Linked DNA regions of Caenorhabditis elegans. The protein of the gene in region 2 purifies or fractionates together with the protein of the main gene of each other region. This does not show direct contact. Each region holds a gene or a part of one and is shown on either strand. Other genes may lie near its edges. The genes, in order: lin-1 and lin-31.

Region 1 (4,814 bases), on a different chromosome or scaffold from region 2:
GGCAGAGGTTGCCTTAAAGTCAGGCAGGCAGGCGTTTTATCGCCTACGTGGAAGCCAGGGGTGTGCGGCAAATTTGCCGAATTTGCCGAATTTGCCGAGCACGGCAAATTTCAAAAAAGTAGATTTGCCGAATTTGCCGAATTTGCCGCACACGTCAAAAATTTGACAGTACAATTTTGACTAAAACTATTGATTTTTTAGCCAAAAATTTAGTAAAATGATACAAAATTGAGCTATTTTGATGCTTAAACAGACATACTACGCGGAACTTATTCAGAAACCAGATGTGTGTTAAGAATTCAGTAGTTTTGGTGCTCCAAAAAACATAAAAAAAATATCAAATTTTTCCGAGTTTGTTAAGCACGGCGAATTTGCCGAATTTGCCGAATTTGCCGAATTTGCCGAATTTGCCGTGCTCGGCAAATATTGAAAAAAGAGATTTGCCGAATTTACCGAGCTCGGCAAATTTTGAGATTTGCCGCACACCCCTGGTGGAAGCCCTAGGAGAGGCTACAGCAGTTATTCCAAAATTCTCAAGGTGGGTTCAAAAATTTCCTAAATTTTTCTCATGTCCTCAAAAAAAAGCAAATACACTACTAAAACTGAATCATGCACTACCAGATGCCTATCAGTCGCACCTTTTGATGACCTTCCCCCCTGGTTATCTCCAAAATGATGATCTCACAAAAATCCGTGAAGACGCAATAATATTTATGTTCCACCCTTCCACATCTTTCCGATATAACCTATCATTAGTACGGTTTTCTTGTTGGATAAAGAGGTTTCAGGGGCTGACAAAATATTTAATATGAATTGAGTAGAGGGGTTTTTCATATGATACTACCCTAAAAACATTCCGGATGACTGATCTTTTTAGGACCCCCACTTCACCCCATTCAAGCACCTCTTCTTTGTCGGCCATATATTCCGATCCGTCAATTTTGGTCGCAGATGACTTTAATCCGCAACTTCAGCTGCTCCGAAAGAGCACAACAACAATAACAACAGATAAGGAAGACAAGAGACCCGTAAATAGTGAAGAACAGATGCTAGTTGGGATGGTTTTAGGGGTAACAGTAAAGCATATATATCAAGAAAATTCAAAGGTATAGAAGAATATCAAAATGAGTGATTTTCACCCATTTGAAGATACTTTCAGAAAAATTGCAAAGCACGTAAAAATGCATTAAATTATTGGAGGACACTATTACAGACTCTGTGGCATAGTAAAGACAAAAGGTTGTATTTTATTCCAGCCATGTGTTTAATGTAACGTTTTGCAAATGGATATAAAAACAATAGTTCCAGTTATGAACCTTTAAAGCTCTAAACATTGTCATGTGGTTTGATTTAACTTGACTCTTCAACAAGAAGTATCTAAATATATAAACGTATCAAACACACACCCTCCCCTCCGACTTATTAATTGACACCATATGTCGTATGTATATATATACAAAAGTGATTGGGTGTGAAAATGCGGTAGAAATCAAACAAAAATGGGGGACCTGCGGTACTGTGAGGCGGAAATATGTATAGAGGGAGTTGGATTTATACCGAAAATTTCGTCTTGACAATTATTTTAGAATTGAATTTTATCGTGTTATTTTTTTTGAAAATTCTGCTCAAAGTTTTAAAAAATACCCTATGTTTTGGCAAAATTTAAGTCATTTTTCTCACAAATTTCTTGAAAATTCTACTCAAAAACTTGAGAAAAAAGAAACACCATACTAAATCATCAAATCATCATTAAAACCAAATACGGATTAGCTGCTCTACCCAAAGCGACACACATTCATCAATTCTTATCGGATTTTACCCGCAAAAACCAAAACTAAATTCAGAAAAAAAGAGAAAAAAGTGGCAGGGAGAGGAATCAGTAGTTGAGCATCAACCGACAGGTGGAAGAGCATGGTCGTTACGGTTTATTCAGCCGTCTGGCAGGAAGAACAAATTGGTTTGAAACTTGTTCTACTAGACTAGTTAGTAAAATATTTTGAGAATGTGCCAATAGCTCCACTTGCCACTATAGTAGAAAAGTATCATATTGTTCGAACATCCTTTCAACTTTACCAGTTGTCATTGTCATTGTCATTGTCATTGACTCGGTTGTCATTGGTTTTATCAGAAAATTGTCAACTGACAAAATGTTTGTCACATATTTTTTTAAAGTTTTCTAGTTTACTATATTTTGATATTTTTAAAATCAACTGAAATTAGAGCTTCTAAAGTGAGGAGGATTTAACATGGTGCATCAGCTCATATCTTGGTTGTCTTTTGATTTTATTTGAAATTGTCAACTAACAAAACATTTTTCAAATATTTTGCTATAATTTTTTCATTTTAAAATTACTAGCATTAAAATAAATAGAGATATAGGCTGTCCAACAAATTAACCTCAAATGAACCCACTTTGGCAGCTTATGCAACTTTATCAGTTGATATCTTGATTGACATTGGTTTTATCAGAAAATTGTCAACTAAAAAATTGTTTTTCACATATTTTTCTATAGTTTTGTATTTTACTATATGTTGATATTTTAAAAATGAACCGAAATATGTGCTCCTAAAGTGTAGAGGTTCAAACATGGTGCATAACTTTGTCACCACTTTCCTTGGCTATCTTTGGTTCTATCAAAAAACTTTTAACTAACAAAACAAATTTCATATGTTGTTCTATAACTTTGTAGTTACATATTTTTTCGTATCTTAAACATTAACCGAAATATAAACTGCCAAAGTTGCCCAATCAATGCACCATGTCCCCTAATTTTTCATTTCACATTTCGACTGTTCAAATCACAATAAGCAAATTGCCGAAAAATGTGAAATTTTTCATTCAAAATAAAAATCACTATCAGCAATTTTGAGCCAAACTTCATTGAGCACATTTGCTTTTAGTAGCAAGTGTGTTTTGCTCCAAATACTATAAAAAATAAACTAACTTCTTATATCCAAAATTCCCTCAATCGTATGTTTCGGAGATTCTTCTTCCTCGGCTTCTTCCGAACTCGACGGCGGCTCTTTTTTGACCTGCAAAAGAATACTATTTAGGAGTCATGAAGTCAGTGGACAAACCTTCAAAAGGTCAATGTGATTCATTTTCGTGTAAACTGTAGAGTGTCGGCGCTTTCTTTTGACCTGGAAAATGGTACGGGGTGGCGGCGGCTGATGAAAGATGACGTGGCAATGAGTGACGAGCTGGCTACTATTTTCAGTGACTCTATAGATAACAAGGGACGGGAGGGGGGCTGTAAAATGCGGAAATTTACAACACTTTTTGCTCACTTATTGTTGAATTGAATCTACATTATAAAAACACGATAATTTTAAGATATGAGCAAAACTTGCTGTCACTTTACGATCTCATGCCTACCTTATGCCTACTCTAGGCACCAGGCAGGCATAAAGGCCTACTGTACAATTCATAAAAAAAGAATGAAGTATGTGGAAAGTGGGACAATTATTAATATCTTCAAATTTTAATGCGTTGTGACACAAGACACAAGGGAAAAGTTTTAGTTTCAAAGGCCTAATTCCCTTGGCTAATACGATTTTAAACGGAAGAGGAGAGGTTTAATGTTAGAATAATTTAAAAGTTGAGGGAAATGGTTTAGTCTTAGATTTTTTTTAAAAGTAAAATCATATATTGGAAATCACAAAAGTTGGTCTGCTCAAAAGTTGTTTAAGTGTAATGAAGAATTTTTTTTTAGCTATTTGATAATTATTTTATAATACCTGCAATGTTTTTGTATGTCTTCTTACTTCAAAATAGCTCAAAATTGTCTGAAATTGCCCAAAAAACTCTTTGAAAACCCGCCAAACAACGTAGGAAACCGAAACTTGCTCGAGACTTAACTTTGAAAACTTGGTTGTTTTTGTCAACTGACAAAATATTGTACAATTATGCAATTAACATTATTAATCAATTTAAAACAAACCAAATTTTTTTCCACTTGCCAATATATAACTATTTTGGAAAATTAGAAAATCATCATATTAAACGAACATGGTGCATCGAAAAAAAACTTCAACTTTACCAGTTTATATTTCGGTTGTCATTGGTTTTATCAGAAAATTGTCAACTGACAAAATGTTTGTCACATATTTTTTTATAGTTTTCTAGTTTACTATATTTTGATATTTTTAAAATCAACTGAAATTAGAGCTTCTAAAGTGAGGAGGATTTAACTGCATAACTTTGACAGCTCATATCTTGGTTGTCTTTTGATTTTATTTGAAATTGACAACTAACAAAACATTTTTCAAATATTTTTCTATAATTTTCTCATTTTAAAATTACTAGCATTAAAATAAATAGAGATATAGGCTGTCCAAGAAGGAACGACATGGTGCATCAATTGAACCTCAAATGAACCCACTTTGGCAGCCTATGCAACTTTATCAGTTGACATCTTGATTGACATTGGTTTTATCAGAAAATTGCCAACTAAAAAATTGTTTTTCACATACCGTATATCTTCTATTAATATGGCCTCCCTATTAGACTTGCACTCCCTATTAGTATTGCCCCTCGGAGACCTTCCGAAAATTAGTATGGCACTCCCTATTAGTCTTGCACTCCCTAATAGCCTTGCGTTTACTCTTTTTTATTGCAGGCCCGTCTTGTTAACTTCAGGATTTCAACAAAAAAATTTGCCTATTTTGCAACAGTTTTTCACAACATTTCTACGAGATTGAAGTTTTTGAACTTATTATATATGTTACAATTAAAAGCAAATTTTCTGAATTTTTACATAAGATTCGAGCTTTTTCAGAAAAAAACTAGTAAGCTCAAAGTCAGAAAAATGTTC
Region 2 (7,076 bases):
GAGCTTCTAAATATGGCACGAGGAGCGGTGGTGTGGCCAGCGGCGCCGCACCGTCTGCAGTCAACCGTGCGATCGAGCGGCACCTTTGATCCAAAAAATGCCGCGATTTTTGCCGCGCTCTCCCCAGGCAGGCAGTGGGGAAGAGATGTCCTTTATGAAGGAGATTGACGGGAGGAGGAGGAGGAGGAAACCGTTTTTGATTAACTGGTGGATGGCATTGCGGTTTTTATTCTTCCGTAAGGACAACTGGTTCTTTTTTCTTCTATTTTGATGTCTTCGTTTTGTCTTTACTGGTCTGTCTTCGAAGTTGCTGAGCTGATTTAGAACATTGTAAATTTGTAAGAAAATTGATTTTTATCAACATAATTACGAAGTATCACGTTTTACGTGTGTTTTTAGAGTTTTCAAGTAAAAAATTTGAAATCAGCGGTATTCAAAACCTAAACCTTTTCACGGGGACTCGATCCCTTGACCTTTTGCTCCAAAGGCATTGCTCTTACCCACTGAGCCATCCGTGGCGCCGTTTTCTTAGGGCGCCGTACCAAGTGGCGCAGTGGCTAAGAGGGACGACTTTGAAGCAAACGGTCATGAGTTCGAGCCCCCGGGAGTTGATTTAAATTTTCTGATTACGACTCGCTGCGCCCTAAAGGTCCCTTTAGCTCCCCATTGATCATTTATCCCAAATCTCATTTATAAAATCTTTGTCCCGAGACAAACCCAGTCATATTTAATTAGAATAATCACTACCCTTTTTTGATTCTCCCACATACAATTTTTTTAAACCGAGAGTACGGTAGGTAATAACAATTTATGGAGAAGAATATTAGGTGATGAGAATGGGTGTCTCTACTACTATTATATATATTACTTTATTCATTCATTAAATTATGGTGGTGGTGGTGACGATGAGAAACTTTACGGAATTTATGAGTGAAATTGTTCCAAAAAAGTGGTGAAGTGTCAAATGGAATATCTAACTGGGAGGGGGGTGAATAAGGACAATGGGGTTAGTGTACTCTCGAGAATATGGAATTAGAAAATGAGGAAAACTTGCAAAAAATGGAGCTTTGAAAAAAACTAGCTGAAAACATCCTTTCAGAGTTGGATTTTAAGATTTTAAGATTTCTCTAAATCATTGTAGTGAAATTTTCTACTGAGGTTTTCTAGTTTCTTTTTCATTTGGTATACATTTTTTTGTAGAAAATGTTCACCAAAACTTTTTTCGAATGCATAATAATTCAACATTTTCTATGCTTTTTAAATTATTTTTCTTGTTGCAGAAAACCCAAACTACCGTACTTTTTCACTAGGTGGTCTCCAAACTTTAATCCGTTATAACTCCACAAATATTTTTGATATAAAAAAGTTGTCAATTAACAAAATGTGCAAAATTTTATGACCAATATTTAATCAGTTGACAGTTTTTTGATATCTCAGGTAACCGCAGAGTTATGAGCGTTTGAAGTTGAAGCGTGCTCTAGGCTCTCCAGGTGACCCAAATATTTGAATATTTTAGTAATTCTCATGATTTTAAAATTGTCCAACAAAAATTCAAATATTGACACTAATTCTTCCCACCTAGACACCCCACCATTCCATGGACTAATCCCGTTAATTCGAACGCTTCCCCCCTACCGCTCTCGGTGTCACTCAAAATTTCAAACAAGTCGTGACAGTTCTCGGGTGGTCTGATACCAGTTTACCTACATTTTCAAAAAAAAACACAATCAACTCTTTCATCTTCAGTATTCCAGTGAATCCCGTCCCACACCAGATGCCCCAACTCAGCGGGGGCTGCGTGATACCCGGTCAGCAGCAGCACCAGCAACAGGAGTAACTGGTTCCTCCCAAATATAGGTTAGTGATGTGAATGTAAAACAAAGACTTATTTTTCTATTAGAAATGTGTTGTCATTTTCCTTATTACAAGTTGTTGCCTTTTTCCCTTACGGGCGGTCTCGGTAAGCGCTGTCTCCCCGTTGGCCAGCCCCGCCCACTCAACGCTCCGCCCTTCTTCTCCTTCTAAGGCTTGGCTTCTCAAACAAATTGACTTTTCCCAATCGCTAAGATTTCAATATATTTTGATATATTCCAAAACCTTCTTTATTAATTATCAATCCAAGCAAAACTCTATACATATTCCCTGAAAAATGCCAAGACCCGGAAAAGACTCGTACGATGAGCAGAAGCCACCGTACTCGTACATTTGGCTCACCTATATGGCTATTCAGGACTCTGACGATAAAATGCTCCCGCTCACGGAGATCTACAAATATATTATGGATCGGTTTCCGTTTTATAGGAAAAACACGCAGAGGTATGAGTTGGGGGTTTGAAAGTTTTTGAGCTCTAAGAAAATTTCTAGTTTTTCTAAAATTCCTGTGTTACTGAAACCCAAAAAAGGGGGGTTTTGTCAATTTTTCCAAGAATCCATTTTTTAAGGCCATTTTGTGAAAAATTTTCAAGTTAAATTTAACAAAAAAATCTGACATTGAAGTTTCCCTTTGTGACTGATTTTGCGTTTTAACAGAGCTTTGAAGATTGAAATGTTTTTTTTCTGAAATTTCGATATTTGTATTTCCATAGTTATTTTGCTTTGAAAAAATATACAAAATATGCTCAAAAACTCCAAATTTCATAGTTTTCAGTCCGGTTTATTTTGGGGTTTTTTCTCACTTTTATAGATTAGTTCTTGTAGTTTCCCCACTTTTATAAGAAAAATTATTGGGTTCAAAAATATGCAATTTTCAATGTTTTAAACAAAAAAAAGTCCTAGAAATATATTTTCGAAGTTTTCTCTTGATTTTTTTATAGTTAAAGTGACTTAAAAATATATGAAATTTCCTTTAAAACAAACAGAAAAATTCTCTAAAAAACTCAAAAAGTGTATTCATTAGTTTCAACATTTCAGAAAAAAAGATAAAAATCAGCTCAAAATGTAATGTTTTCAGGTGGCAAAACTCCCTGCGACACAACTTGTCATTCAACGACTGCTTCATCAAGATCCCAAGAAGAGCCGATCGTCCTGGGAAGGTAATATTTGTAATTTAAAAAAAAATAAAATTTCCGAAGTTATTAATTTAATTTTTAAAAACCTAAACAATTTGCAATTTTCAAAGATGAATTTCTAGCAAAAAAAAGTTACATACTATATATGGGTTTTTCCAAGAACTCGTTTGCTCTCTTTTTGTGCTCTTTTGCCCTCAATGAGCACATGCTCACTTTATAGAACCAACAAAACAACTACCGTAGTCCTTAGAGCTAAAGTAAATCTGCAACACTTTTTGCTCATTCTGCAATTTCCATGTTAAATCCTGTGATAATTTTTTTTCTAAATTTCCGAAAAAAAAACACCGTAAAAAATTCCAGGGCTCCTACTGGGCGGTGCACCCAAATGCCTCCGGAATGTTCGAGAACGGCAGCTGCTTACGGCGTCGGAAACGATTTCGGGTAAGTCTTCGGTTACTGTACTTATCAAATTGTGTAAATTAATGATCTTATCACTTCAAAGAGAAACGCAAAAATCTCCAACAAAAAAAAACGAAAAATTGATTTAGAGAGGGCGCGCGCGTGCTTCCCCCTTCACGATTTTGAGAGAGAAAGACAATTCTACAGTAATCCTCAAGGTTGGTCGATGACAGAAAAGGCGAGAAATTTGTTTTAAATACGATTGAGAGACTATTGGGGGAAGAGATTATGATGAACGGCTGCAGGATTGGATAAGACTTTGCAGATTTTGATGTGGGGTACTGTAGTTTAAAGGGAAGACTGTGAACAAATATTTAAGATAGTGTGGCTATGCGCAGGCTTAGGCTTAAATTTAGGTTTAGGCTTAGGCTTAGGCTTAGTCTTAGGCTCAGTCTCAGGGTTAGGTTTAGGCTTAGGCTCAGGTTCAGACTTAGGTTCAGGCTTAGCCTATTGCTTAGGCTTAGGCTTAGGCTTAGGCTTAGGCTCCGGCTTAGGATTAGGCTTAGGCTTAGGTTCAGGCTCAGGGTTAGGCTTAGGGTAAAGCTTAGGTTCTGGCTTAGGCTTAGACTTATGCTTAAGATTAGGCAATGAAGAGTACCTGTGTATTTGGTTCAGCCGAAATTGCGCAACTTTGAGAATGTACAAAATTCTTAAAAAATTGCAGAGTTGGAACTTTCAGAAATCGCAAATGCCTTCGGAGAATAGGAAGCTTCGGCACTGTGGTTTTGGTACTGACCTGCAATTTTCAAATCATTCTGCAAAGTTTTAAATTTGACAAAAATTTTTTATCAAAATGGTTTTGAAACGTTTATCTACATAGGGTAATTAACCTCGCCCCCCCCCCCCCCCCCCAAAATATTTTCAATTTTCACTCAATTTTACTCAATACAATTAAACAGTCATATTAAGATGAATTGACTTACGCGCGCGAAATACTCTCCTCCCGGTACTACCCAATAAAATGTGCCATCTGTTGCAATAGTTGTACTCCTACTACTTCTACGGGGGGGGGCAACAGATGCCTCCTATCCAATATTGTAGTGTTATGTTGAAATGAAAATGAGTGACTTGTGTCTGTGTGTGTATGATGAAGTAGTTAGAAAAGAGGACAAAGAAAAAGTAATAAGAAGTTGCAAGAGTTTGTTTGAGTGGGGTGAGCGGGGTTTGCACATAACTTTAAATTTTTTTCAACTATTCGGCTTGGGAACTCTACACCTATTGAAATATAAGGCTGTAGGCAAGCACTTAGGCATGTAGGTAGGAAGAACGGGGACATGACTATGCAAACAGGTATAATTCTGTTCCAATGTACTGTTCCAAATATCAAATCCTCCATACAGTCTGTCCTCCAACCACAAGCCCATTAAAATGACAGTCAGGCTGTCCAGCGGGGGGTCCCCCGCCGAAAAAGAAGGGCTGTCGCGGGGCGCTAGCTAATATGTGACACATATACATATAACTGTATCACTTGTACATGTACATAAGACGGATTGGAAACAAAAGTGATTCTCTTTGCCTATGGTTCATTCCATTTCGCGCAATGTTTTAGGTAGTACGGTAGATTAAATGGCCTTGGGGCGAGGAGGGGAGGACTAATCACTTGGAGGGGAAAGAAGAGGCAAGACAAAGATTGATGCGGTTTGAATTTAGATATTTAGGTGGTGGAGCGAGGTGTCAATGTTTGTCAGGTGCCTGATTTATTAGTATATGTACTTTAAGAGATGAATTATAGAAGTGCTGCAAATTTGAAAGGCATAACTGTAAGGTACCTTTTAAATTACTACCGGCATGTGGTGTCAAAGTGTTTCAGTTCGGTTTGATCTACAAAGAATGCTGGAGAAGAGACGCAGACTTTTTCGGGGCGGTGCTCGGGAAGAGCTGATTTACGTCGATTTACAGTTTTCCTCGTTTCTAGAATTTCGTAAATCGACACAAATCGGCTTTTTCCGCGCCCCGTCCTTTGGGTCCCGGGATGTCTCTGTCTCTTCAACTATCTACACTATCTGTACTGGTAATAGTGCATTTTCTAAAATTGAATCATAAAATTTTGCTGTAAAAGTTGAACGTTTTTTAAACACAGTTTTAAAAAATATTTAAAAAATTCAATTTCAGGCTCGCGGCGGCCAAGACGACGACGACGACGACTTCCACCACCCGGCTCCATCGAAAATCTCTCGCAAAAATCCTCTTCCACTGCTCCCGGAGCCCCCAATAACCCCACCACTCCTCTCCTCCCTTTTCCCAAATCTTCCACCATCACTCCCAAATTTCTGCCTGTTTCCTCCAGGCATGGATCCTACAAAATCGTTGCTTCTGAACCCTCTTTCCCTACTTTTAATGCCCCATTTCTTGAAAAATTCTTCGAATTTTGAGAGCTCGACTCCACACTCTGAAACATCGGAGATTTCTGGGTCGGGATCTTCATCGTCGAAGACTCCAACTCCTGAAGCTGGCTTCAACTCTTCTTTCAGTATTGAGTCGATTTTGAGCTCTTGAGCTTTTGAGCTCATCTCACTACCTTTTAATTATTAAAAAAATAATATTTTCATTAAATTGTGCCACACATTTTCCTGTTCATTTTCTGTCATCCTGTCTTTCTTTTCTTGTTTCTTAAGATTCGATTTTCTATTTCAATAATGTGCAAATGCGCTCTGTTAACCAACTAACCGACTAACCCAACCTAGCAGCCGACATTTCACGGGGCAAAACCTGTAAACTGTCGGCTGCTAAGCGGAGGACCTACTAACAACTGATATTATCAATGATAACATTCCACACATCCCAGCTCCCAATATTTCCATCGGTGTTAACTTTTTTCAGATTTTTTCTGAAGCTTAAACTTCAGAATGTCAATTCTGTTCTAAACCTAGTCCCTATACATTTGAAATTATTGATTTTCTAGATTTTTCTTCTTGTGATAAGTACTTCTTGTACTCTGTTCCCCAATATTTTTTGTATTGAATATAAAATATTTATTAATTTCCCAGGCTCTTTTTAGTCATAAACAACCAAATAACGTTTTTTTTTCTCCAAATAATGAAAAAGTTGCCAGTGGTTAGTTTGATTTTTTTTACTTGAAACATCAATTAAAAATGCCAATTTTTTCCAACGCTGCCGTAATTGTTGTTATCTTTGATATTTACCGTGACTCTCTCATATCAAATTTTTCCCGAAAGACTACAGAATATTCAAACAATACGAATGCAACGATATCGATGAGTCAATCGAAATTTGATAAATTGTTATGTCGAAATACTACGACTCCTCCTACAATTTGCGTATAAGAATAGCGTCCGAATTCTTATACATACGCTCAAAATTCTTTAAAAATGGATTCAAAAAAACCGTATAAATACTCTACTTATTGCTTTATTTTTCTCAATTGTATTCTCGTGGTGTTTCAACGGCATTTCGGTTTTTTTGCCACAATGGAATGTAGATGACACGGTAGATCAAGTTAGCCTTTTTCCGCTGGATTTACTGGTTAGATTTATCTTTATCTTTATTTCACTTGAATTAATCTTTAATTGAAGAACAACCCGCCATACTTCAGTGCGGTCGCATTGATGATGCTTCTTTCGTTTTGTGCAACTGTAGCTATCTCTATGT

What was found.
Region 1: the proteins of lin-31 (region 2) and lin-1 purify together in Caenorhabditis elegans (affinity purification with western blotting, with the first as the bait; one study listed by BioGRID). This does not show direct contact.

What each region holds. Positions count from the first base shown.
Region 1 is NC_003282.8:2,297,185-2,301,998, forward strand, and holds the start of lin-1 (ETS domain-containing protein), read right to left. Parts: upstream 3,103-4,814; coding exon 3,079-3,102; intron 3,034-3,078; coding exon 2,946-3,033; intron 1-2,945.
Region 2 is NC_003280.10:3,980,505-3,987,580, forward strand, and holds lin-31 (Protein lin-31), read left to right. Parts: upstream 1-2,044; 5' UTR 2,045-2,149; coding exon 2,150-2,316; intron 2,317-2,950; coding exon 2,951-3,032; intron 3,033-3,368; coding exon 3,369-3,449; intron 3,450-3,824; exon of another isoform or gene 3,825-4,016; intron 4,017-5,579; coding exon 5,580-5,963; 3' UTR 5,964-6,525; downstream 6,526-7,076. Other genes in the region: K10G6.5 (Serpentine receptor class gamma), read left to right, coding at 7,034-7,076. UniProt on the Caenorhabditis elegans protein: Lin-31 regulates how vulval precursor cells choose their fate. It helps specify three alternative cell fates in vulval development.